Drosophila melanogaster: one gene and its partner. The protein of the gene in region 1 purifies or fractionates together with the protein of each later gene. This does not show direct contact. Each region holds a gene or a part of one and is shown on either strand. Other genes may lie near its edges.

What was found.
Region 2: the proteins of wcy (region 1) and Bre1 purify together in Drosophila melanogaster (affinity purification with mass spectrometry, with the first as the bait; one large-scale study listed by BioGRID). This does not show direct contact.

What each region holds. Positions count from the first base shown.
Region 1 is NC_004354.4:17,066,697-17,079,182, reverse strand, and holds wcy (wacky), read left to right. Parts: upstream 1-3,526; 5' UTR 3,527-4,184; coding exon 4,185-4,388; intron 4,389-5,571; coding exon 5,572-5,920; intron 5,921-5,985; coding exon 5,986-6,237; intron 6,238-6,318; coding exon 6,319-6,393; intron 6,394-6,458; coding exon 6,459-6,534; intron 6,535-6,643; coding exon 6,644-6,729; intron 6,730-6,794; coding exon 6,795-6,890; intron 6,891-6,949; coding exon 6,950-7,365; intron 7,366-7,434; coding exon 7,435-7,673; intron 7,674-7,735; coding exon 7,736-8,196; intron 8,197-8,267; coding exon 8,268-8,437; coding exon of another isoform or gene 8,438-8,449; intron 8,450-8,554; coding exon 8,555-8,682; intron 8,683-8,751; coding exon 8,752-8,830; coding exon of another isoform or gene 8,831-8,908; 3' UTR 8,909-10,165; downstream 10,166-12,486. Other genes in the region: CG4949 (uncharacterized protein), read right to left, coding at 1-115, 175-249; CG43077 (uncharacterized protein), read left to right, coding at 10,726-10,812, 10,879-11,052, 11,207-11,812. UniProt on the Drosophila melanogaster protein: Acts as a linker between gene transcription and histone H2B monoubiquitination at 'Lys-118'. Regulates the cell-cycle checkpoint activation in response to DNA damage. Positive regulator of amino acid starvation-induced autophagy.
Region 2 is NT_037436.4:5,784,511-5,796,046, forward strand, and holds Bre1 (Bre1), read right to left. Parts: upstream 9,683-11,536; 5' UTR 9,546-9,682; intron 9,343-9,545; 5' UTR 9,336-9,342; coding exon 8,190-9,335; intron 8,076-8,189; coding exon 7,186-8,075; intron 7,134-7,185; coding exon 6,035-7,133; 3' UTR 5,321-6,034; downstream 1-5,320. Other genes in the region: Tektin-C (tektin C), read right to left, coding at 10,054-10,633, 11,039-11,536. UniProt on the Drosophila melanogaster protein: E3 ubiquitin-protein ligase that mediates monoubiquitination of 'Lys-117' of histone H2B. H2B 'Lys-117' ubiquitination gives a specific tag for epigenetic transcriptional activation and is also prerequisite for histone H3 'Lys-4' and 'Lys-79' methylation.

The DNA of each region.
Region 1 (12,486 bases):
TGGTCAGGTATTTGCTGCAGTTATGGGCCTCCCATGGATAGCGCTTTGCCATTCCCTGCTGGCGACTGGTGATCAGTAAGACGCGCTTTTCTTTGGTGGCAAAGCGTTCGCATAGCTAAAAGAAATGCAATTTGATGTTCAAAAACCGACCTGAATCCGATGTTCAGAACTTACCTTTGCCAAATTAAGGGCGTAATCCTCACTGCCCGTCAAATATATATAGTTATTGTTGCAGTCGCTCAAACTCATTCCTTAAAAATGCTTACAAATTAAACAATATATATTTAAGGAATTCTAAAATTCTTCTGCCGCTATTATCGGTATCGGGATGAGTTTTTAATAGAGGTGCCGAAACATCGATGCTAATATCGATGCACCGAGGTTTTTTTTTAAATATTCCAAACATCGATGCTTATTTCAGACTATCGATGTTTTTAGGTTAATCACTAGAATTTCTTCAACTATTTTAATTAATTCAAATAATTAATTACTTTCAAATATTAGCTTGCAGTCATATATATTTTGGGTTTGTGGTGAAACTGACGCAAGTCGATGGACAACTTCGTCGGAGTCGGAAAGGGCATTTAGCAAAGCAGGTCAAATAATTATTATTACCAGTTATACCACCTTAAGATCTTGCATATGAAAAGAAATCTCATTGTTTTTCAGTTTGAATTATCATTCTTTGTTCTTTTGTTTTATATTAAATTAAAAAATTATTGAATTTAATAATATGCAAATGCTTTTTCTTATTTCTCAAGTGTAAATATGTATATATAATTTTTTTTAAAAAACATATAATTTTTAAGTCGGCTTATCGAGAAACAATACATCCGATAGGAATACCCTTGAGCAGTGTGCCCGAAATGATTATGCGATACTATCGAAATGATGTTGTGCAATATATGATAAATTAATATAAACTATCTATATCTAAAACTATTTCAGTATCATCGAAAGTTTATAAAGATCAGCTATTGCGTATATACATAATATGTACAATAACAAAAGTCAAATTAAAAGTTAAAAGTTAAAAGTTATGTTTTTATATATATATTTATTATTTAACAGTAACCAAAAAAGAATTTAAATGCGAACCTAGTTGGCATCCCCGGCTACAGAGTGACCATTTTGCAATCCGTCCAACGCCTAGCGGTGTCAGGCACTAAAAAATACCACAAACGGGGCGCCACCTAGAGTCCACCATATCAACCAGCCAATTGGCACATATAGCCGAACTCTTCTCGCACCCGCATAGCGTGCCGCGCGAGAGGGATAGCCGCACGCAGCGACCGATTGCTGGCAAACTCAACACAGCCGTGCCGACGAACAGACCGCACAAAGCGTAATGCAAAAGAATTGAAAAAAATCATCAAGTATAGAGGCCAAAAAGCGAACACAGCAAGTCGGCATATAATTAAACAATTGTCGTTCAATGCTGAGCAAATAAATGCGGCGATTGCAGCCCAGCAAAGAAGGCGAGCGGCAAATTGCGAATTGCGGTAAGGTACCAAGAAAAAAAGGGAGTAAAATTGAAAAGAAGTCAAACGAAATACGGATCAAGCGACACCACACACACATGCACAGACGCACGCACACAGTCACTCACGGTCGTGCACGCAGAGGCGAATGCCGTGTGTGCTTTAAGTGAAAAATTAAAGGCGTTCCGAATGCTAATTGCATTAAGGAGAGGACAAAAAGGAAGCTGTCTAAAGGATTGCTATGAATGTTTGTACTTTTAGGAGGCAGCAAAATAAGCCGATAATAAGGCGACCGCAATTCAGGCACACATATACGCCACACAAACACCGAGTCAGCGGGCCACACAGACGAAAAGCACACACACACACATGCCACTGAGAGCCTCCCATACAAGCAGACCACAACACACACACACACACATACAAGCGAGCGTGCCTTGGCAGGTGAGAAGAAGAAGAGGAAGCGGTGGAGGCAAAAGGAGGAGCAAACAGGAGGCGCCAAAGGCCCCAGAATATTGGATAAAATCGGAATAAGGCTGCATTATCTTCTCCACGAGAAGAGGAAGCAGCAGCAGCACTACCAGCAACAGCAGTCGACGAAGGAGAAGAGGAAGCAGACGCATAAGCAGCAGCAGCAGCAGCAGCAGCGGAAGAAGCAGCAGCAGGAGGAGGAGCAGGAGAGAGAGGGAAAACCAACAGAAGCAGCAGCAGCGTATTTGGCGAAAAACTTGCATTGATGGTAATGCATGCTAGAAAACCGCAGCGTATGAACGATGGGTAATATATCAAATATTATTTTCAATCTACCGTAATATCGGCAATAACAGTGATTCCCAACGTACTCACAATCACACACACACAGGCAAACTAGCACACTCATAATTGTATATTTTTTTGTTTACGTTCTGTCCTACTGCCATCTCGCTCTAACTCGCAGTGCCCGCGTTTCCTTTTTATCCTCAAATTTTCTCCGTTTACCCTAATTAAGTGATTTTCGTAAATAAATTTGTTTTCCCTATGTTTCTTGCTTTGATTTTCCCACTTATCCATCTTCTCGCGCTATTCATGTTTTTCGTCTTTTCACCACACAATAGTTGCCTCTCGCTCGCACGCGCTCAGCTGGCAAAAGGCCAAAAAAAAAAAAATAGTTCTTGTAACATTTACAGTTGCTTATTGCACCGCAAAATTAGTTCATATCCATTGTTTATCAAACGCGTTTCGCTGTTTGTTTATTTACCATCGCTTTTTAGCCGGCTTTCGATTGTCCGTTAAACGCAGAGCAACTAAAATTAATGACTGTCAACAAATCAATGCCGGCAATTGATAAGCGCTTCTGTTGATAAAATAAAGCTCAATCGGAATTGGGAAATCGATTTACAATTGGCATTTATTTAGTGGGTTTAATATTTAAATTTGATTTTCTAACACAAACAAAGGGATTTAAAATAGAGAATTTGACAAAAATCGATTCAGGTCAGTGCGTTTAAAAGTGCGTTGTAAATAAGCTGAAATAGCTGGTTAACTTCGAAATATGCACTTTGTCATGTCATAAACATTGTTGTGTTTCCTTCAAACACTTGAATATTTTCCCTTAAATCATTACATATTTAGAGCGAGTATAGCAGAACTAAACCAACTAAGTGTGTCTTATATACCCAACTTCATTTGAAAGGAAACTAATGAACTCTTCATCTTGCCCCACCGTTTTCCAGGTACTTTGAGAAGCATACCAGTCACACATCATACCAGGTAAGCAGACCGATCCGAAAATTCTCCTCGAACACCGCAATTAATCACATTTACATGCCAGCTTTTAGTGGACATTTTTAATTTTGTAGTTTAGCTCATTAGCCCGTAGTGCACCCAAAGCCACAAAAAAAAGAATGTAAAAGCCAATGTAAATCGTATTTTTATCGAACCGTCGATTTCCCTAGTGTCATTTGCTGATATTTTGGTAAAGAGAAAAATTAACAAAATTTGCAAATTGTATAGCCTGGATTTTGGATTATTTTTGGTTCATATTTCTCCTTCTTTGTCAATCGCTGTCTTTGTTGTGCATCCCAGATCTTACGTTCCCGTAACCTCATCCATTTTTGAACTGACCGAATCGTGTTTCATTTTAACCCATTCAAAAACGCGGCATTGCAGCCTGAACTGATCTTAACTTGAGAAACGAATCTGTACGCATCACTGCTAAAAAAAAAAAACAAACAAAAAACAAACCCAATCCGAATTCGATCATTTAATCAATTACAACATCTAACCGAACAGCACCAACAAATGTTTTAAATCGAATGATATATATGGTTAAAAGTATACAAATTTATCAAACTATATTAATTAGAAATCGAATGCATAACCAATTTCTAAACTCTGCCTAAGGAATAGGAACCTAATCAAATTAAAATAGCCTTAAAAACGACGTAGTAAACAATTATACACCAATATTAAAAATAACATGAATGTGCGGAACGGAAGAACAAACCAATTTCCAAATTGTCTAACGAAATAATCAACGACAACAACAAAAACACAAATGTGCCTCATACATAAAGCAACAACAATCAATTAAGACACCAACAAATAACTAATGCAAAACAAATAGGAAATAAACCAAAGCCAAATAAAGTGTGCCCTCGAAAACAAGCGACCAATTGGACTTTTAATTCAAATTAAAACCAAATACACTTCAATTAATTATCTATGAGGAGCAACAAAAACTCCTACGGCAGCAGCAACAACAACAGCAACAACATGGCTGTTGATCTCTCCCTTTCGACAACAACAATTGCCAATTGCAACAGCAACATTAGCAACCACAATAACAACAATAACAAAAACAGCGCATCAGCAGCGACGCTGGCAGCGAATTCAACGCCTTCAGCAGTGGGTCTCTGTCGCCTAGAAGTAAGTAACCCAAAGATCCCAGAAAATAATGGTTAAAAACAATAGTAAAATATAAAAACGCAAATAAAGTGATCAAAAACCAATAAAGTGCCACGAACATCGTGCTGTGCGCAGGAAAAGCAATCCTGATAAGGAATAAACAAAAAACATTCAAATTAAGGAACAAATAAAATTACTTAATAATGAATAATAAAAATCAAAAGAAGGCAACAGAACATGAAACATGCAGCAGGAATAAATCTTCCATCCAAACTCGTATATTTTAAACAAAAATCTGACTAAAACGACACACAAATCGCCGCTAATAAAAAACATCAACAAATTATGATTTACATACCAAACACCCAAAGAGTTATTATTCTATATCTCTTAAACAATGAAACACCACTCAATTATGAAGGATTCTTTATTAATTATTATAAAATTTTTTGATAAACACAAGATTGGAATTTTATGGATGATCCCAAAATTTACGATGGACAACAAACAAGGATTTTAATTTTGATTAATATTAAACTGGACAATTAGATTTTCAGTTTGGATAACCTGAAGACAACGACCAATATGAACCAAAAACGAAAGTATCACTTAAAAAAATCCTAAATAATTAGTTTCAATTAATATATAATTTACTCAGGAGACGATAAACCAAAACACACACCAAACACACGACACATTTCAAAATTCTTCTCGATTACACATTTGATTTCTCAAACCATCGGGAGTTTCATTTCACCCAACTTTCTTTTTGTATCCTTTCGTTTCCATTGGCAATAATCACAAGCGAGAAAATTGGCAAAAGTAGCTGGCATTATGCATTAACTTATGATTTTCCTATTGAGTAGATTTAGTTCAACTAACCAACCACCCAACTTCAAAAGTTACAACTAAACCGAGACTTAAATCAACCGCTATTAAGAATGCAATACTAAATATACCAGTGGGTTGGTACTATCCAAGAGATTCAGTAAGGATTTCCTAAATTAATCCCATTTGTTGGAACACGAAAAACTCATATATTGGCTACATTACTTGATGTACTGATTATATTGACCACATCTTGAATCCTTACTGCGATTTCTTAGAGAGTACTCGACAAACATTGTATTTTGTAGCACTGTGCAATTGATTTTGGGAATGTAAATCGACTAAAAACTGTGTGCGCTTTTATTTACCCGTGCAGAGCTCAAAGTACAGCAGTTCAAAGCGCGACTACGAACGCGATCGTTCCTCCAATTATCGCGATCGTGACCTGTCGCCAGGCGCTGGCGGTGGAGGAGGCGGCGGATCCGCTGGAGGAGGTGGCGGCGGTAGCGGAAATGGCGGCGGACCATTGAACAATGGCAACAGCTACCGCTCCCAGTCGCCGGACATTGATTCGCCGTCGTCCCGTTCGCACGATCTGCGCGACCGCAGCGATCATCGGGGCGGAGGTGGCGGCAATGGGCGTGGCGGCAGTGGCGAGCGGTACAGCTTTATGCAGAAGATGCGAGATCGAGATCGGGATGTCTACAAGAAGGATAAATATTCAGGTGAGTTAGCGCAGCTGCAAGTTGGAGTTGTATACCATAACAATACATTATTCTATTCTTCATAGATAAACGTGATCGGCGTGGCAACGATCGCGATTCGGAGTCGTCGTATCGCACCAACCATGATAGGGATCGTCGTGGCGGAGGAGGCAGCGGAGGCGGCAGCGGCAAGCTCTGCTCCTCGCGGGAGAACGACAAACGATCCGGGTCCGACGATCGCGATCGAGATCGGGATCGAGATCTGCGCGACTTGCGCGACAAGCGGGACCGCGGTTCCGATCGCGACAGGGACATGTACAAGAAGGACAAGTACGCAGGTAGGTCCAAGCGCCCATTTACCCCACATCTCCCCTTATTTACTAAACATACTCTGTGGCTTTTGTTTTTTTTTTTGTTAGACAAACGAGAGCGCAGCGATCGCGGCGAACGGACGGCGCGTTATGGCGACTGGAGCGAGCATGTCAGCTCATCAGGTGAGTCCCCCCATGACAGCTTATTCTTCTCCAGGCTCCAAACTATAATATTGGATTGCTTTCAGGCAAAATGTATTATTACAACTGCAAGACGGAAATCTCTCAGTGGGAGAAGCCAAAGGAATGGGTGGACAGAGAAAGGTAAAGGCAATGGCATTATAATATGACCAGCAAAGATCTTGGGAAGAATCTGTAATAAGAGCACCCTAGTCCTTGGTTAAATAGTCATTAATGTGTTATATGGTTACAGAAATTTGCCGCGCGATCAGCATCGTGAGAAGGATTATCGTGACAAGGATCGCGATCGCGACCGCGATGATCGTTTCTCCAGATCAAGTGAGTTAAGAACCTGCTTCAGAAATTTCAAATATGATATTCAAAACATGTGTTTTTCTTTGCAGCATACAAACATTCCAATTCTTCGCGGGACAATTCACGACTGAGATGGAATTACGACAACGATGGCGGTCCGCCCAGTCATCGAAGGCGTTTGGATGGTGAGCATAAAGCAGGTTGCGTAGGATCTAGTTAATTGATTTTAAAATCCTACCGACAGGTCGACACAACGACAATGCTGACATGGATATAAGCGGCGACTCGACGCCTACCTCGGAAGCCAGTTACTCGCTAAGCGGCACGCCCACCACACACGGCGGCGGTCCGGGCGGAGGCGGTCCCGGAGGCGGCGGCGGTAGCAACAGCGATCAGCCAATGGGCAATGCCCTGCCTCGTTTGTCCTCCCACCCAACTGCCAACTCCTCCGCATCCGTGGCGACGGGCACAGGTGCGACGGGGGGACTGCACTACGGCAGCGGAACGGGCGGTGGCCCGGTGACGGGCGCCACAATGCTGCCCACCATGTCGGGAATGCTGAACAGCAACAGCAGCAACAGTGCCGGCGGCAGCAGCAGCAATGCCAGCAGCAGCAGTCTGAGGAACTCCGTTGTCGGTCACATTGGCTCCACATCTGGCGTAAGTTTGGCTTGTTTGATAGCCTTAAGCTTTGGCTTTATTCTTATTTATATGCATTATGCATTGCAGACGACTGTGCCCACACTGGGAAGTCAGGATCCGCACCAGCATCATCTGAACTCGAATGCTCCACTGCCACCGGGTGCCAAGGGCAAGGATCAGGCGCTGCTGATGCGCCAGAAGATGCACCTGGGCCTGGGCGTCCTCGATGTACAATCACATCACGGCGTTAACTCGGTTGGTTCGGTGTCAGATGGGACCAATCACGCCTACAATTCGGTCAATAACTCGGTCTCCGGCAGCTTACGGTAAGCTATTGAAGGCATGTTGCAAGATCATCAACTAAACTTCATGGATATCAATATTGCAGGGACAACAGCGTAAACTCGCCGTTGTATATGCACCACAGCATGTCGCCCTCGTTGAACTTCACCAAGAGTCCCATACCGACGATTGTGGGCCACACGAACAACATGAGCATCGCCTACACCTGCAATCCACCCTTTGGCCTCAAGGCTACCCTCGATGGCGGAGTGATGGTGGCGAATGCCTCACCGGCCACGCCCGGTGGCAACGCCTCCTCCGGCTCCAGTGGAGCGAATAGCAGCCAAAGCATCGTGCCCGGCATGGGCCCCGTCTGCGGAATCAGTGTGATCACCTCGATGGGCAGCAACAGCGGCACGCTATGCGAAGGACCGCCTACGCCCACCCAGGAGCTGGATTTGAGCGGCTCGGCGTTGGAGCAGCAACAGTTGGCCGCCGCAGCGGCAGCCGCGACAGCGTCAAGCCTCCAGCTACAGGCGGCGCAACAGGCCCAGCAGCAGCGGAAATGTATGTATTCAAAATTCTAGTGTGTTCCGAGTTTAAAATATATGACAATGTTTGCCCATTTGTTATTCCAGTGGATGGGACGTCGTCGGCCACGCTGAGCTCACTGCAGAGCTGCGTGAGTTCCTCAGGACAGGCGGCAAACCTACGTGGTCCCGAGATTTCGCCAAAGCTGGCCAAATACTTCCGCGCCGATCTGATCGCGCATGTGACCAATTGGCACGCGGAGGTGCTGGAGCGTCAGGTAAGCTGTGAGGTAGGATTTGCCTGCGAATAAGGCACTAACCCGACCTCTGTACATACGTATACATATATCCATGGACTCGAACTGATTGTAAATGTTTTCCATTGTTTCTCGAAGGCGCAGAAGTGCTGTGAGGATACGCACCTGTTTGGCGACATAACGTGCACGAGGATATGCGCGGAATTGAAGTGCGCCCGCAGCCTGGTGCGAAGCACCGAAATCAATGCCACCCTGCAGGAACAAAAGTGAGTGTTGCAATGACATCTAAATGGTAGTTGTTCTAACCAATGCATTTTATGTATTGCCTTTCGCAGAATTATGTATTTACGCCACCAGATCCGCCGTATCGAGGAGTCGAAGACTCAGAACGCGTTCATGTCAGACGATACTTAGGATCAGGAGCAGGTTAGGCTGCGCGTACATCGCAAGCTGTCTGTTAGGCTCAAAAAGAGCTTCTTCTGGCGCAGCTGATGATGATTGCGATGATGATTGGTCGATTGTGGCCGCCGTCAGCAGCTTGTCCTCGTTTAGCAGGCCCGGATCCAACCCTATTTATTGAGGGCATCTGGAAATGGCTTAGATGATGACGACGACTGGCGGTGGCCCACGACAATGACTGAGAAACCGCGTGCATCCTGCTCCATCCTCTTACTTCTCTCCTCTGGGCGACGCATCTCTCCCCACCACCACAACCAGCCCGCGATTCACTTGTGTTCGGATCGAGTTCCAGTCCCCAACCGACTATATAGTGGCAGTATGTAACTGGCTGAGCGGACTGCATGGACTTGGCACAGGACAAATCAGGATAAATCAACCAACAGCTGCAACAAGAACTTCAACAAGAAACACAAAAACTAAAACATAATTTATAATTAGCAAAGCGTAAATTAAAAGCAAAAATAAACTAAAATAAGCATTGCATTAAGCAAGACGGAGGAAAAGCCAGAGAAATAGCCACAAATAAAATACAACACCATTCAAGATAACTACAAAAGAAGAATACAGCCAACAGCCGACCTATCAAGATCAAGAAGCAATATGGATAAAGCCTCGTATCGAATCGAATCGAAAGAAACAAAACAAAACAAAAGGATAAACAAACGAAATAGGATCAACAACACCAGCAAAGCAACAACACCAACAAAAAACAAGTCAACATAGTATACTCAACTGCAATAAAAAGCTAATTAAACTATATACAAATTATATATAAACAAATATATATAAATAGAGTATATGAAAGAGTGTATATTTACATCCACCTAACATAAATACGGAGGATAAATCATGATGATAAAATGATTACGATGACAACCAAAATGCGAGTCAAGTCGAACCGAATGCACGCTTCTCGGGACGAGGAAATCGACAATTTTATATATATATATTTATTTGTATATATATTATTTATAGGTTTGGCAGCCACCACACTTCCCACATTTATTTTTACAGTGCGATCGAAATGTTTGTTTAATCTGCTGATCATCGGCTTGGTATCCTGCTAATTGGTGCAGAATTTATATCTTGTTTTGTAGTTATTTACCGATTACAATTCATGTTTTTTATTTTAAAACTATAAGCATAAAAATTTATATTTACAACACACCATATTCTTTAACCTCCGATTCAAATTGCAGATAGATTTGTTTTAGTTTAGTTTTTTTTTGTATGCACTACATTAATGTCTTTATGATATATGATCGTATATATATATATATATTTTATTATATATGCATATATTATTTATTTGGCAAAAGCTACAATTTTATTGTTACATAAGCGTAGCGAAGCGAAAGCAGACACGAGGGAGAAGGGCGGGGAAAGAAGAACTAACAATTGTAATTTTGAGTTTTTTTTTTTTAAATCTTAACTTGACAAACCAACAAACAAAAGGAATGGATCTGCGAATTGCGCAGATTCGAAACAAAAATAAAGCAAACAGTTTAATAATGATAATGCTAATAACTATTGTAGATATACATATAAATAATATATAAAAAATATATTAGCTAAGCGTCGAAAACAAAACAAAAAAAAAAAAAAAACAACCGAAAAATAGAAACTTTTATTATGAATTAATTAAAAAATACAACAACAAGAAAATAATGGTTACTATGGTTATTTCAATGGGGAGTTTTGTCTATCCAAGTAGGCGTTTCATTTCCTGATTCCCATTTCACACGCTGTGTCACAGGAAAGCATCAGTTCCAATCGTGCTCCCGTAAACGAAAGTCATACGAAAAAATCTCTAACAACATAATAATATTTTTGATTTTCGATTCTGAACAATGAATAAAATGGAAGAAAACTTCTACAATGGATGCACTTGTTGCCATTGCTCTTGCCGCCGCTCTTGCTCTTGCTCGTCTTTAAAAGTGAGTCCCGGCGAATAGTGCCTCGTTTCTGGTTTATAATGATTCAACTATTCAATTATAATGTAGCGATGCAATTCCGCTGAATCGTGTCGCTTACTTATTCAGAAAAGTTCGAAATATATATACGATGGCGTTAGATGCTCAGATCTCAGATGTCCATACTGCAACGAAGCGCTTGGACAGAAAATCCTTTTATCGCACTCGGCGGAGTCCACTGCTCGAACGCCACAACAAACGCGGGTAAATAAGCAATAATTCGTTTATTCCAAAGTATGTACATATGTATGTATGTACATGCCGCGAATTCTTCATTAATCGCTATTATCATTTGACATTTTGTGATCAAAAATTAAATATCCCATCATTGATTATTCATTCATAATTACGACCTTAGATTTCCGACATACAGTTTAGTCATTCGGATAAAGGACGAAAAAGTTACAGTAAAATGAAATCGATGTCCGGATTTGAAGAGCCTAAAGATCAAGTTCAATATAAGAAGAGAGAGTCTAGCATATCAACACCATTCAGTTGCTATAGGGAGGATTCGCCAAGGTCCTCGTCCAGAGTTAAGTCTACCGGAAAGTACAGTTGCAACTGCTTCACAAAGGAACAGCCAAGAAAGTATGTTTCAAAGACTGCCGAAGAAATCAGAAGGACGGTTCGAGCGGAGATTGCAGAGATGGAGCAAAAGCAGGCAATGGCAGACAAAAATGGATGTGATTTTACTTTTTGCAAGCCACCGCAGAGTGGACGATTGTCATCTAATGAAGAAACCAAGAGTAAATCTAAAGATGAAGAGATTTTTACGGAGTCCGAGAAATTGATACTTAGCAAAATTGATTGGCGTACTACTGCCACCAATGATTTGTCTAATTCCGAGGTAATTTATTCGACGATAAAGCGCTTGCTGCGCGTATGTCTGAACAACAAGATAATCGAACTTGGGCTCCTGGATAGTCTGCATGATGCGATAGCACAATTCAAACGAGACAACTAATAGGATTCCTTTTTTATTTTTGTGTATATTTTTTATAATTAAATTTGGGGTAACAGGGGGGAAACATATTCGAATTGTCTTACTTATTGATATTGGGGAAGGAACTTCAAATTTAACGCTAATTCTTCAGGACATTTGAAGCTGAATGAATCGCGAATTCAGCAGTAATTTTATTTGGGGCTTTGATAAGAGAATCTAATTTAAATCTGGGGTACAGAAAGAAGATAGAATTGTAGTAACTTACAAACTTGGCGCCAAAGGGGCTCTTCCTTTGCAGCCGTTGGAAAAGCTTAAAGCTCAAAGCTCTAAGCTTGCGAATACCCAATAGACGAATGTGCAGCGCAGCGAATTCGCCAGAATGAATCGGAAAATGAACCTTCAGCGGGGGGGTGGCGGGTGAGGCGGAAAAGTTCGCGTCCGTGTGCGTGCGTATCTGTGTTGTTTTCCTTTTTCCTTTGCGTTTTTTTTTTGCATTGCCCTAGCATCTCTGCTTCGTTTTCGTTTTCGGAGGACGACGAAACGCCAACAAGTAGCAGTTCAGCATTCGACGCGTTCGCTTGCCAGCGGACACAGGACCAAATAAACGGGTCAACTTTCAGCGAAACGGTTGAGTTTCGAAAACGCCGAGTAACGGTTATCGGTTCGGTCAGTTCTCGAATTTTTTATTTTTGTTT
Region 2 (11,536 bases), on another chromosome or scaffold:
TCACGCGATTGGCATGGACTGCGGTCACTACAAAGAATGATAAGAAGTCCACGGATTAGTCGGGTTTTTTCTCAAATCCACATTGTATGATTAATATTTATACTATATATATGTATATGTTCTTAAAGAGATTGAATTTACTTACTTACATACTTGTAAAATATATAATTAAATTAAATAAGAACAACTTTTCATCTTGACTTACATAGAAAGCTTCAATATACTGAATCTACAACCAAGTTAGGCTCCAACTTCTTTATAAAAAGTGACGAATATCAAGTTTGAAGCCTTTGCTTTAATCAAAACAAAAAAACTCACTAGGCAAACGACGAAACTTATTGTTTAATAATTCTGCATATATGTATTTATCAATGAGATTTATTAGTGGTCTTCCCATTGAAATTGGTTCAAGGTCCCAGTGATCTCAAGGCGAACGCCACCGGATCACGGATCGTTGTAATTTGCAAATATTTGCTAATTAAAACTCGCGTATGAGACGCGTTTTTGTTAAAACAGAGCTGCGAAAGCGACGAAATAAAAAAAAAAACTTATAATTTATTCACTTCTTTGTTGTTAGGGGAACCATAAAGCGACCACCAAATGCCATTATGGTCGCATATAAAACATGTATGGATGGCAAAAAGACTGAAAAAGAAACCAGGCGAATTGGTTCAAGTTCAAAACTGTTTACTGAAAGCGGGTCAAAAAGAAATATATGTATGTATGTATGTCTGTATGTTCGTAATTAGCCAGTACCAGAAAGAGTTTCACTGTTTGAGCATCCGAGCATCATTCATTGCATAACAATAAAGAGCGTGGAAAGCAAAGAAAAGTATGTGGAAAGCGACCGAAACAATGCCACTGTTTGACTTTTGCAGATAAACAAAGTGCAAACATGGATTTATATCAATATTTGCACACAATTTGTGATCCGAGCTGCGGATGGATTTGATTGTTTTATGGCCCTTTGTCTGCGCACTTTGAATCCCCCAGCCAGATAATCGAGATCGAAATCCGTTTTCCCATGACTTCGACCCATTTGCATATGTACATACATATGTACATATATACATACATATCTCTTGGGTTCGAATGTTGCGAACTCTGTGCCATTTAATTGATTCGATTTTGGTCCAAAATTTGCATTCGATTTTGCTTATTTTTTGTTTAGCTTTTTTTTTCCTTTTGTCGGCTTTTCAATTTTCGTTTTGTCGGTTTTCCCCCCGCTCCCCCCGGAAATGCGATTTCAAAATGTCATTGGGCAATGCGCCCGTTGGATCCCGCTTGCCATCTCTTTCGTCCGCCAGCTACCCCTGTCTCTCTCTCTCTCACTCTCCCGCTCTTCCACAAGTTTCAACATGTTTATTAGGAGCTCGTTGTGGCTTGCGTGGCTTTTGTGTGGCCAACTGAACAGGCCAATAATGCAACAGGCGGTGCAATCGTGGCTTATTTGGTAATTGTTATTCCACAGGCTCCTTTATTCTCCGCGTTGATTGATTTTCGAAAAGGTTTCAGGCTAATCATGTTTGGTTTTTCAAAGCCAGCACACAATTGCAAATCCATTTTTGATCAAAAGGGTTAATTGGATTTTGATACATTTTGATACATTTTGATTGCTTTTTGATTGAATTGCGCATGAAAAGCTTAAAATTAAAAAAAAAAAACAAACTTTGCGAATGGAGGAGGGCGGTTCGTTTGGTTATTAGTCCAGATTATTATCCTATAACATGTGGTTATAATCTTTTCTTTTTTTTCCATATTGTTTTGCTATGAAAATGATTGAAAATGTTGAATGAAATGCTGTAAGTAATTTGATTAATCCTTGTATGCTATCCTGTTCATATATCCTTTTCGTTTCAGTTTTGGCTACATCCTTTCAGTTGCTCTCGAAATTATCACAAACACACACACACACATTGGCACTTACACTCCTTTTTTTTCGATTCCTTTGATCGTTGTTTTCAAGCACGTCACACGCTGCGTATGAGCAATGCCAAACGCCCGTTTCGCAATCCTTGATACGGGTTCTCTGGCCTCTACTTGTATATGAGCACCTCGTTGGGATTTAGCTAGGCCAAACGATCTTCGTGAGACGACGCGCCGATCGAAATGTATGTACGTCCGAACAACGCGAGGTCCAAACAACGAATGACGCTGGCTGGAGAGGCCTCGTCTAGAAAAACAACGAAAAAGCCCGAGGAGAAACAAAAATTGTTAAAGAAATTAACTGGATTATATAATGGCCATGCCACCACTACAGCCGAACATTATGTATAGCCCACTGAGCCGAGTGTCGAATGCAATCTGATCGGTTTGTTCGCTGGGTAAATGCTGCTGCTGCGGCTGCATGGAGATTGAGTTGAAGCTGGAGATGGAGATGGAGATGGAGGGAACAAGTTTTTGGCCAGCCGAAACTGAAAGTACGAAGTACACGAACCTTTTGGCCACATGTTTTTTTTTTTTGTGGGATAGAGCCTGATCCCAGCCATCAAAGGCAGCCATAAAGTATTAAAGAGCTGCTTGTTGTTAGGCAATGTCAGTTGGGCAGTTAGTCACTTGCTCACTTGGACGCTTGGCCACCACCAGTGGCTGTGGATCAGGTTCGCTAGCTGTTCATTTTTAACTTTACTTCACAGTTAAACCTTTGTGAATCCATAGCTGTACTCCCTGCCCATTTGCACGCCCATCATTTCATTCATTAGGTTTGTTCAGAAACGTTTGCATTTTCAAAATTTGCATTTTCATGGCTCGACTTGAGGTGGCAGTGAAGCGAGAATGGTGGCCAACCTTGAAATGGCAATACCCCATTCGTAATGATGCTGTCGCCATTGCTAATGGTCCAAACACCTAATGACCACCCGGCGTATACGTCATCTGGCGATCGGATGATATGGCGATGTTTATCCAGCTCTCCAGCTCTCAAGTTCCAGTTTCAGTTTCAGTGCCAGTTGGAATTGCGACTGCAGTTTACGACTGGGGAAATGCGTTGGCCCTTTCGGCTATTTCGGACTCTTTGTGGACCCACGGCCATGACGTGGGCTTGGACCAGTGAACATTTGGACATTTGGACATTCGAACATTGGGACATCTGAGTAGCGTTGGCATTTCGGCATTTCCCAACCCGAAGGGCGTAGGTCCACAAATGCATGGGGGGATTCATTGAGCTGCGATCATCAGCATGCTAATATAATGATTAGTTTCCGTTCGCCCGTGGGCGAGTTGATTGGATGAATCGATGGATGGGATGGCACGCCCTGAGTGCTAAACAATCATTAGACTGCAGTGTGAAAATGCCTTTGTTCGATGATAATTAATGTTGATCTTGTTATGAGCCTTGATTCAATGACAATTTCGTTTCGTTGATAGCAGAGAGAAGGCCGCTTGAGAAAGATTTCCCTTCGCAACCTTGGTGGTTAAGTGAAAAACTCCATTTCATTAGCATTTGGCTATGTGGATTAAGAGCTTATGGCCATTGGGTTTAGTGTAAAGGTGACCCACGCATGAAGTTTTGTATCTAGGATTATAATATTCAATGCTAACTAAAATCTGTATAAATCTCATCTGCAAGTTTTAATGTAGTTACTCATGAACTGAAGCTGTGGTTTAATGACTTGAGCTCATTGACTTTTAAGTTATTGTATATTAAATTTGAATATAATTAACCTTCTTCCAAGTATTCTAAACAAATAAATAAATCTCTTAATACAAACAATTGTAGTAACCCAAAGTGGTTACATTCTTTGGTATACTTCCGTGTGCTAATCTCCTGTAGTCTTGCGACTCGGTTATTCCCCGCTTCCAGTGATAACCTTCGCCATTGTCCCTGACCAGCACGGATTGACCTACTCCAGCGCTCCACCGGCACAGGCCGATCTTAAACGGATTCGTTATGTTGGTAATAAACGCACTCGCTTTGCCAAGTGCTCGGTGTAATGTTGCTCACTCATCGCTGGCACGATTTTGATTTCTCACTCTTTTTACATTTATTTTTTCGCTTTCGTTTCATTTTGCCTCATTTATTTAACATTTTTGTTTTTTTTTTGTAGCCTGGCTTGCCGCATAACGAGTTTACGGCGCAGATGCCCCAACAACCCGTCCAATTGCTCCACATCAGCTGGTAGCTGGCAGGTAGTCCGCTCATAAAGATGCCGCCACCTCTCGATGCGAACAATAATAATAATAATTTTTAATAAACACATTACATGGCGCAAAGCGGACGAAACAATTTGCAATTTCTGTGAATCGAGGGGGGAGGTACATCTGGAACTGCTGGATGGGGTAAATTTTTTGAAACCTTTTTTTTCGAAATATTCGGCCGTGCAAACAAACAAGTCTCACTGCCCACAAGATTTTACGGTGCTTTTGTGATTTTGGTCTTAGCCATAATTAACAGCGAAGAAAATCAGCGGCAGGGCTTTATTATGGTTTCGAAAATGAATCAAGCTCCAGCATACACGCACATTATCTATCCTATCCATACATTCTCTTTCTGGCTGCTGGCTATTTTCGGGTCTTGAAATCTTCAAGTCTTTCTTGATCCGCCGAAAATGGCAGACGTTTGATTTCGTACAAAAATTTGCATATCATTTTTGGTGATTTACAGAACAATAATTTATCATCAAAGTCTTTTTAGGGCATCGATGAGGGGGCTTATTTGGCCAATACGCAATACACACTTTGTTGATACTGGCGCAGTTACCACGAGCCCACTTGACCACTTGCCAAAGGTAAATAAATTCTTGGCTCACTTTTGGTCGCCGAATTGCGTCAGCTGTTAATTATAATTGCACAAGACAATGTCGTTGCTCTTGAGCCATTGTAATAAATACTAGGTAGCATAATTACTGGGGAATGGCCTGGCCAACTGGGCTGTTCTGGCCAATTGGAACCTAACACGGCTAACTTAAACTAGATTTGCCTGCAAAAGTGTGATGCAAATTAAAATTAAGACAATTGCTCAAAAGACTTTGGTCCAGTTGGACGCAATTAAATATTTATAAATAGAAAATATGCAATGATAATTACCAATTTATACCAGTTGAGTTAAATTAACCATTCGTTTTATGTTCTTGTGCCATAAAATAGAAATTTAGAATATGATCAAACTGTTTATACATAAAATTATAGTTATGGCCACTTTCCTACTTTCTGTAGAGAACAAAATACCAGCATAGCGTTTTAAACCCCGATAACCTGTTGCGCGCCAATGGTTACAGGTTTCAGATAAGCATCGATGTTATTAACATGAGTGCGTGGGTGCTAACAGCTCTAACAGGTGGATTTCATGTAGAGAGATAACATTGATTGAAAGTCACGATTTCTGATCATTAGTTTCTTTATTCGTTAAACAGTACACATAAAGAACGAACACATTTACACACAAACAAAAAAGCAATCAAAACTCGTTTTGTTCAGCTGAACAACAATTTTCGATCATACATTATTACAATTACTTATCAATTATAACCAAGTTAGCAGCCCTTCAAAGCAAAGCGCGACTTTTAAACGGATTCTCCGCCAAGTTTATACATTTGATATCTATGCTACGTTTGATCATTACAATAGGAGTATTTAACTTAAGATTAGAATACGCTTAATATAATGCTAACTGAATGCAAGACAAAGAACCTACACTTATGTATATATGGGGTATCTAAATAACTCGGGGCATGCTAAACAATAGGTTTTAGCCATTTATTAGTGTTCGTACATTTAGTTTTCAAATGAAATCATTTAAAAATAGTTTGATTTACAAAAACTAGAAGCTACATAAAAACCGCGTCACGATCTCGCGGCACTCATAATGAGATGCTTTTGCTTGGCGCCAGAATGAACGAATTCAAATAATTGCCATGGGAAATCTGGTGGGGGAAAGTTATTCGGAGACTACTTAACCAAATATTAGTACGTAGGTAATATATGCATAATGAATAATAATCCGGCATGAATGCTGGGTGTGCGGTAGTGGTGTGTGGCGTGGGTGGATTTGTGTATGAATAGGACATGACCGGAACGTATCTAAATTATCGCTTATCTACTGCAGATATAGCCTATGATAATCGTTGGCGCCGAAGGCGCAGTTGCATTTGGGACACTTCCGCTGCCGCGTTTCATATCTAGTGCGCAGGCAGTCGTAGCAGAAGACGTGGAAACACTTTGACAGGACAGCATCCTTCCGCTTCACCTTGCACGAGGGACACGTGAGCGTTTCTTTGTATTCGCGGATCTCCTCAATCATCACCTCGTCGATGGTGGTGCCCGACATTTCCATCTTCTTCATGCGCTCCGCCTTGCGTTTAAACTGCGCCAGCTCCTCCTGCAGCCGCTTGGTCTTGTAGGCCTCCGCCTCCAGCGAACTGGTCTTCTCCGCCACCACTTGCTGCGCCTCCTTCATTTGCGCGTGATACTTTTCCAGATGCAGCTTGAGGTCCGCTGCCGATTGCGCCGATTCAATCGCCTTGCGTTTGTGCATCTCCATTGCTTGCTGCCGCAGCATCAACTCTTTCTCAATCGACGCGACGGTGGCCTGCAGGCTGCGTTCCTTCTCCTCCAGCTTTCGCAGCACAATGTGCATGGCTTCGATTTGCGTGGTCGCCGTTGCCATCTGATCCTCCAGCACCGTCTTTTCCTCTCTCAGAAGTTTGTGCAGCTGGTTGGCCTTGATGCGCTCCGACATTAGCTTAAAGTTCGCATCGTCCTTCTCACGCAGCTGTTGTATGAGCCGGGAGTTCTGCTCCTGCATGTCCTCGAACGCCTGGCCGGTAACCTCCATCTCGTTCAGCAGTGCCTCCTCTTCGTGGGAACCAACAAACGGTCGCGTGTAGTTCGCTGTGCCGGGGGCTCCACTGCCCCAAGAATTATCCGTTGGCTTGTGGTTGGCCATCTGTTTTTGCAGCTCGTACTTCTGCTCCTCCAATTGCTTAATCTTACGTAACGCCTCCTCGTCGGCCAGCTTCTTGCGTTCCTCGCGCTTGCTTTCCTGCAGCTTCTTCAGCTGCTGGCGGAGCTCCTCGATCTCGGAGCGCAGTTTCTTTTCGGTGGCCATCAACTGGACCTTGTCGCGCTGATCCTTCGATACGCCTTTGTACATATCCAGCAGGAGTTTCATTTCTTTCTGGTCGTTCAGTGCTTTTCTGTAAATCAAACAATGTTAAATAGATAATCGTAATTGCTGAACAAACTTACTTTAGTTGCGCCTTCAGATCGCGCACCGTTTCACTTTCCACTGCCTTCACATCCTTGCCCTTGACACCATCCTTGGAATCCTTTTCGTTTTTGACGGGAACAGAATTGGTCGCAGAACTTGTTGAGTTTCCGGGTCCAGGGGAATCCTTCTTCTCAGCTGCCGCCGCGTCTCCAGAACTGAGCTTCTCCTGCTTGATGCCGTCTTTTACGTCCTTACCACTGGCCTCGTCATCAGCTTCATCTTCAGCCGAGATATGGTTCTCCTCCTTGATGGCTACGTTGGTATCGTTGCCGGAATTTGTTTGGTTTGTTTGTCCACTGGCGGAAACGTTGTTGGAGTTCTCCTCCTTCACACCTGTTGAGTTCTCCTGCTTGATTTCTTCGCCAGCCGCACCAGTCGCCGCCTGCAACTTGTTGCCTTCGAGTGTAGCTAGTGCATCGGCCAGCTCCTGACGCAGCTTCAAGTTGTCCGTGGACGTGTCCTTGTACTTTCGCTTGTAGCGCTGCACCTCACCCTTCAGTTGGCCATTGTGGTTTTGTAGAGAGGTGATCAGGTGGCGCATCTCGCGATTGATGGGTGCCGTCTGCTCGTTGGCTGCCATGTTCTGCTCGAACTCAATGCGTAGCGTTTCGTACTCCTTTCGGATGAGGGCTAAAACGTCCTCCATCTGGATCATCTCGCTGCGCACCTTCTTCTGGGCAATAAGTTCCTCGCTCTCCATCACTTCGATTTGTCGCAGATGCTGGTTCTTGCTCGTTTGAAGCTGGTTTCGGGTCTCGTCCAGCATGGTCTTTATCTGCATGGACTCGTTGTAGAGCACGGAAAACTGGCTCTGCAGGCACTTGTACTCCGTGGTTTCCACAATTACCGATTCCGGCAACTGTCGTATCTGGAATGGATTTTAAGGATGAATCAGTATAATACAAAGAAAATATAAACGAAATGACTAACTATAATTAGCAATGCTCCAGATAAGCTAATACATTATTCATTCAAAACTTACATCCATTTTAAGCTTCTCCACCTCCTTCAGGGTTTCGCGATGCGTGGCGTGAAGCTTATCCAGCTCCTGCAGTCGGTTGTTGGCCAGTTCGCGGTACTCCTCCAGCTCCTTTTGCAGCTCCTCCAATAGCTGGCTATTAACGCTGGTGGTGGCGCCGCCGCTGCCTGTGGTAGTTGGTGTCTTGGCACTATTAGTGCTCTTATTGGGATCACCGTAAATCTGGTGGTAGGCCTTCAGCTTTTCAATAGCCTCGGCCAAGTGGTTCTCCAGCTTATCATTCCGGCAATGGATCTTCTCTAGGTCATATTGCAGTTCGTCTATCTGGTTCTTCAGTTCGGCGTTCTCCGTCTCCTTGGCGGTATGAGCGTCCTGGTACTCCTTCATCTTCAGCGACATGGTGTGGAACTTCTCGTGCAGCGAGGTATTCAGATTCTGCAGCTTGTGATTTTCGCTCATGATCTCGATGTGCGTTTGCTTCAGGGTTTCCTCTAGCGCATGGACACCGGCCGATGACGTTGTGGTCTCCGCATCGCCGCTGGCCTGCTGCTGCTCCTCCTCGCCGCCAGCTCCCGCTCCTGAACCGGAGCCAGCTGAAGCCAGACTATCACCTTTCAAGACATGAGTTATCTTTTCATTGCGTTGCATTAACCTATCAATAACCTGTACGATCTTGGCGACCGCCCTTTTGGACACTTGGACGCGGTTGGCCAGCTTCTCGTCCAGCTCCTCCTTGTCCCAGGTGGACAGTTGGGCGAGAAACGAGGTGGTCACCTCGTTCTCATTCCGGTTCTCCAGTTCGTCGGCCGTCTCGGCATCGAAGCGCTGCAGCAGGACTCGTATGTCCTCGTTCAGCTGATTCCAATACCGATTGACCACGTTTAGAACGGCGTCGTCCTGCGTTTGCCGCTTTTCCAGCTGCTCGATTCGATGTCGCAGCTCCGCCTCCGTTCGCATCCGCTGTTCGATGCGCTGTGCTAGCTTCTTGTTCTGGAATTCCAGCACCTTGATGTCCATCTCCTCCAGCGTGGACACCGGCCCAATCAGATGGGGCTCGAAGTGCACCTTCTTGATGGGCGGCTGGCCGGCGGCTGCGGCGGCCACCAAGCAGCTGCTGCCGGTGGCGTCGTCGGCGCTCCGTTTCGACATCCTTGCACTGCGGAAAACAAGATTAGGACTGATTTCAGTTGTAAAAACAATTGGAGTGTTGAAAATTATTGATTTGCCCATTCGTGGCTGTACTCCATTTTTTATCGTGTGCGGCGGAGGCGGTGGCGGTAGAGGCGTAACGCTCCCGCCACTGCCAACATCGCCATGCCTTCGGTGTACTCAAAATCTAGATGGTGGTGGGCCACTTACCTTAATCTCGGGTTTATACACTTTTAACTTAACATTAATTAAGGTTTTCTTTTGCTTTTCTACGTTTTGCCTGGCTTCATCAATATCGAATGCGGGCTGCGGTCACACCTGGGAATTTTCACAGCAGCACGGTAACACTATTTGCAATACTCCCTCGCATTTGCGTTCACGTTATCGATAACTATATGTCTGTGCTTAGCGGTAAATATCGAATAGAGGCAGGTAAAACTAAAAATACTAGATTCAAAGCGGGAAATTTAAATTCACGAAAATTAAGCAAAAGAAATATATGATTAACTATTTCGAATAAAATGAACAATTTAAAAATGCATTAAAAAGCCATAGTTTTGGTAACTGGAAATCGAAAGTGAATTTCAATTTATTAAGTAATTTGGGATCGAACACGAAATGCACATGCATCTAATAATTAGATTTTAATTTGATTATTGGTGGCTGGGCTGTGTGGCGACTACTGGACTGGTGCTGTACTGGATGTAGTGCTGCCCGACTAAAATGTTTGGTACTTCAGGGCCTGTCGCAGGGTCATGCAGTCGACCTCGTCGATCTTGCAGGTGTTCGCCTTGATGTTGATCTCCTCCTCCTGCATCACCTGGACGTGCATCAGGTAGCGCATGGATGCCTTGTTCTCGTTCAGCTTCTGATTGAGCTTGCATACGGATGCCTTCAGCGCCTGCAGTTCGTTGTAAAGCGCATCCTGGACCATGTCGCAGGTCAGCTCCAGGCCAGGACGATGGGCGCGATTGCTGAGCCGCGTCTGGCACAGTGTAATGGCCCGCTGCTTGTCCATCATCTCCTTCTCCAGCTCGGTCATGTTGCGCTGCACCTGATGGATGTGATCCATGGTGTCCTTGTGCTTGTTCTCCAAACACTGTTTCACGTGCTTCGTCTCCGAGATCCTTCGCTCAAAGGCCTCGTTGGTCCTGTCCGTCTGGTTCTGCATATCCTCGCACACCTGCTTCAGCAGCAAATCGATGTAGGCCCGCAGCTGCCCGGCGGACACCAGCGCCTTGGCGTTGGCCTCCAGATTCTCGTACGTCTGCGCCTGCCACTCGGTCAGCGAAAATTGGCTGGGTAAGGAAGAGAAGGGGGTAAAGGCATGGTGGAGTCATGGCAACTATCAGGTCGATTTGAGTGGTTGTAAATAAATCACTTAATTCCAATGCACTAAAATAGACTCAGGACAACTCTATCCCATATCACCAAGGAAACTGCGGTTTCATTGTTAGGTTTGACCTTCCTCAATTCCATTCCTAACTGAAAAGGGGAACAACTACTTGACTTTGTAATGGAATTTGTGGATAAGACTCTAGTAAAATGTTTATCCTTTTAAACTCCTTGTACTGATGAACACCGAAATGACTTACGCATAAAAGTGAAAGAAAAAAGATTAATAATCAATCCACTTCATCATTCCTTAAAAAGGAAACCCCAACATGTGTGATTGACATGCAACCTAGTTTTCAAAAACCTACCAATGCTGTTTGGACAAATCCTGTCCCTTAGCCAGGTCGTGCTGGAACTCCTTGAGCTTCAGGTTCTTCTCGTCGATGGCCAGTGACTTATCCTTGGCGGCCAGATCCTGATCGAGCAAATAGATGGCGGCGCGCAGCTTGCGGATCTGCTCCTCGGCTTCCTTGAGGGCGGCATCGGCCAATCCCTGACAGCCCTTGATCACCTTGAGCTCACGGCGCAGCGAGCGATCCACCTCGTCGTCGCACAAATCCACACCGATCCGACCTTCGCGTAGGATCAGGCACTGCTTGCAAATGGCCAGCGACTTGTCCTTCAGGAACTCGATGCAGTTCAGCACGCGATTGCGATAGGTGTTCAAGGCCTCATCCTCCAGGGCGGCGGTCTTCTTCTGGCGATTCAACTCGTCCACCAGGAATCGGATTTCGCTCGTCCGTTCGCGCATATGGTGCTCCACCTCCCGTTGCCAGTTCTTTGTGGTGTCCTTCGTTTCGTCCACC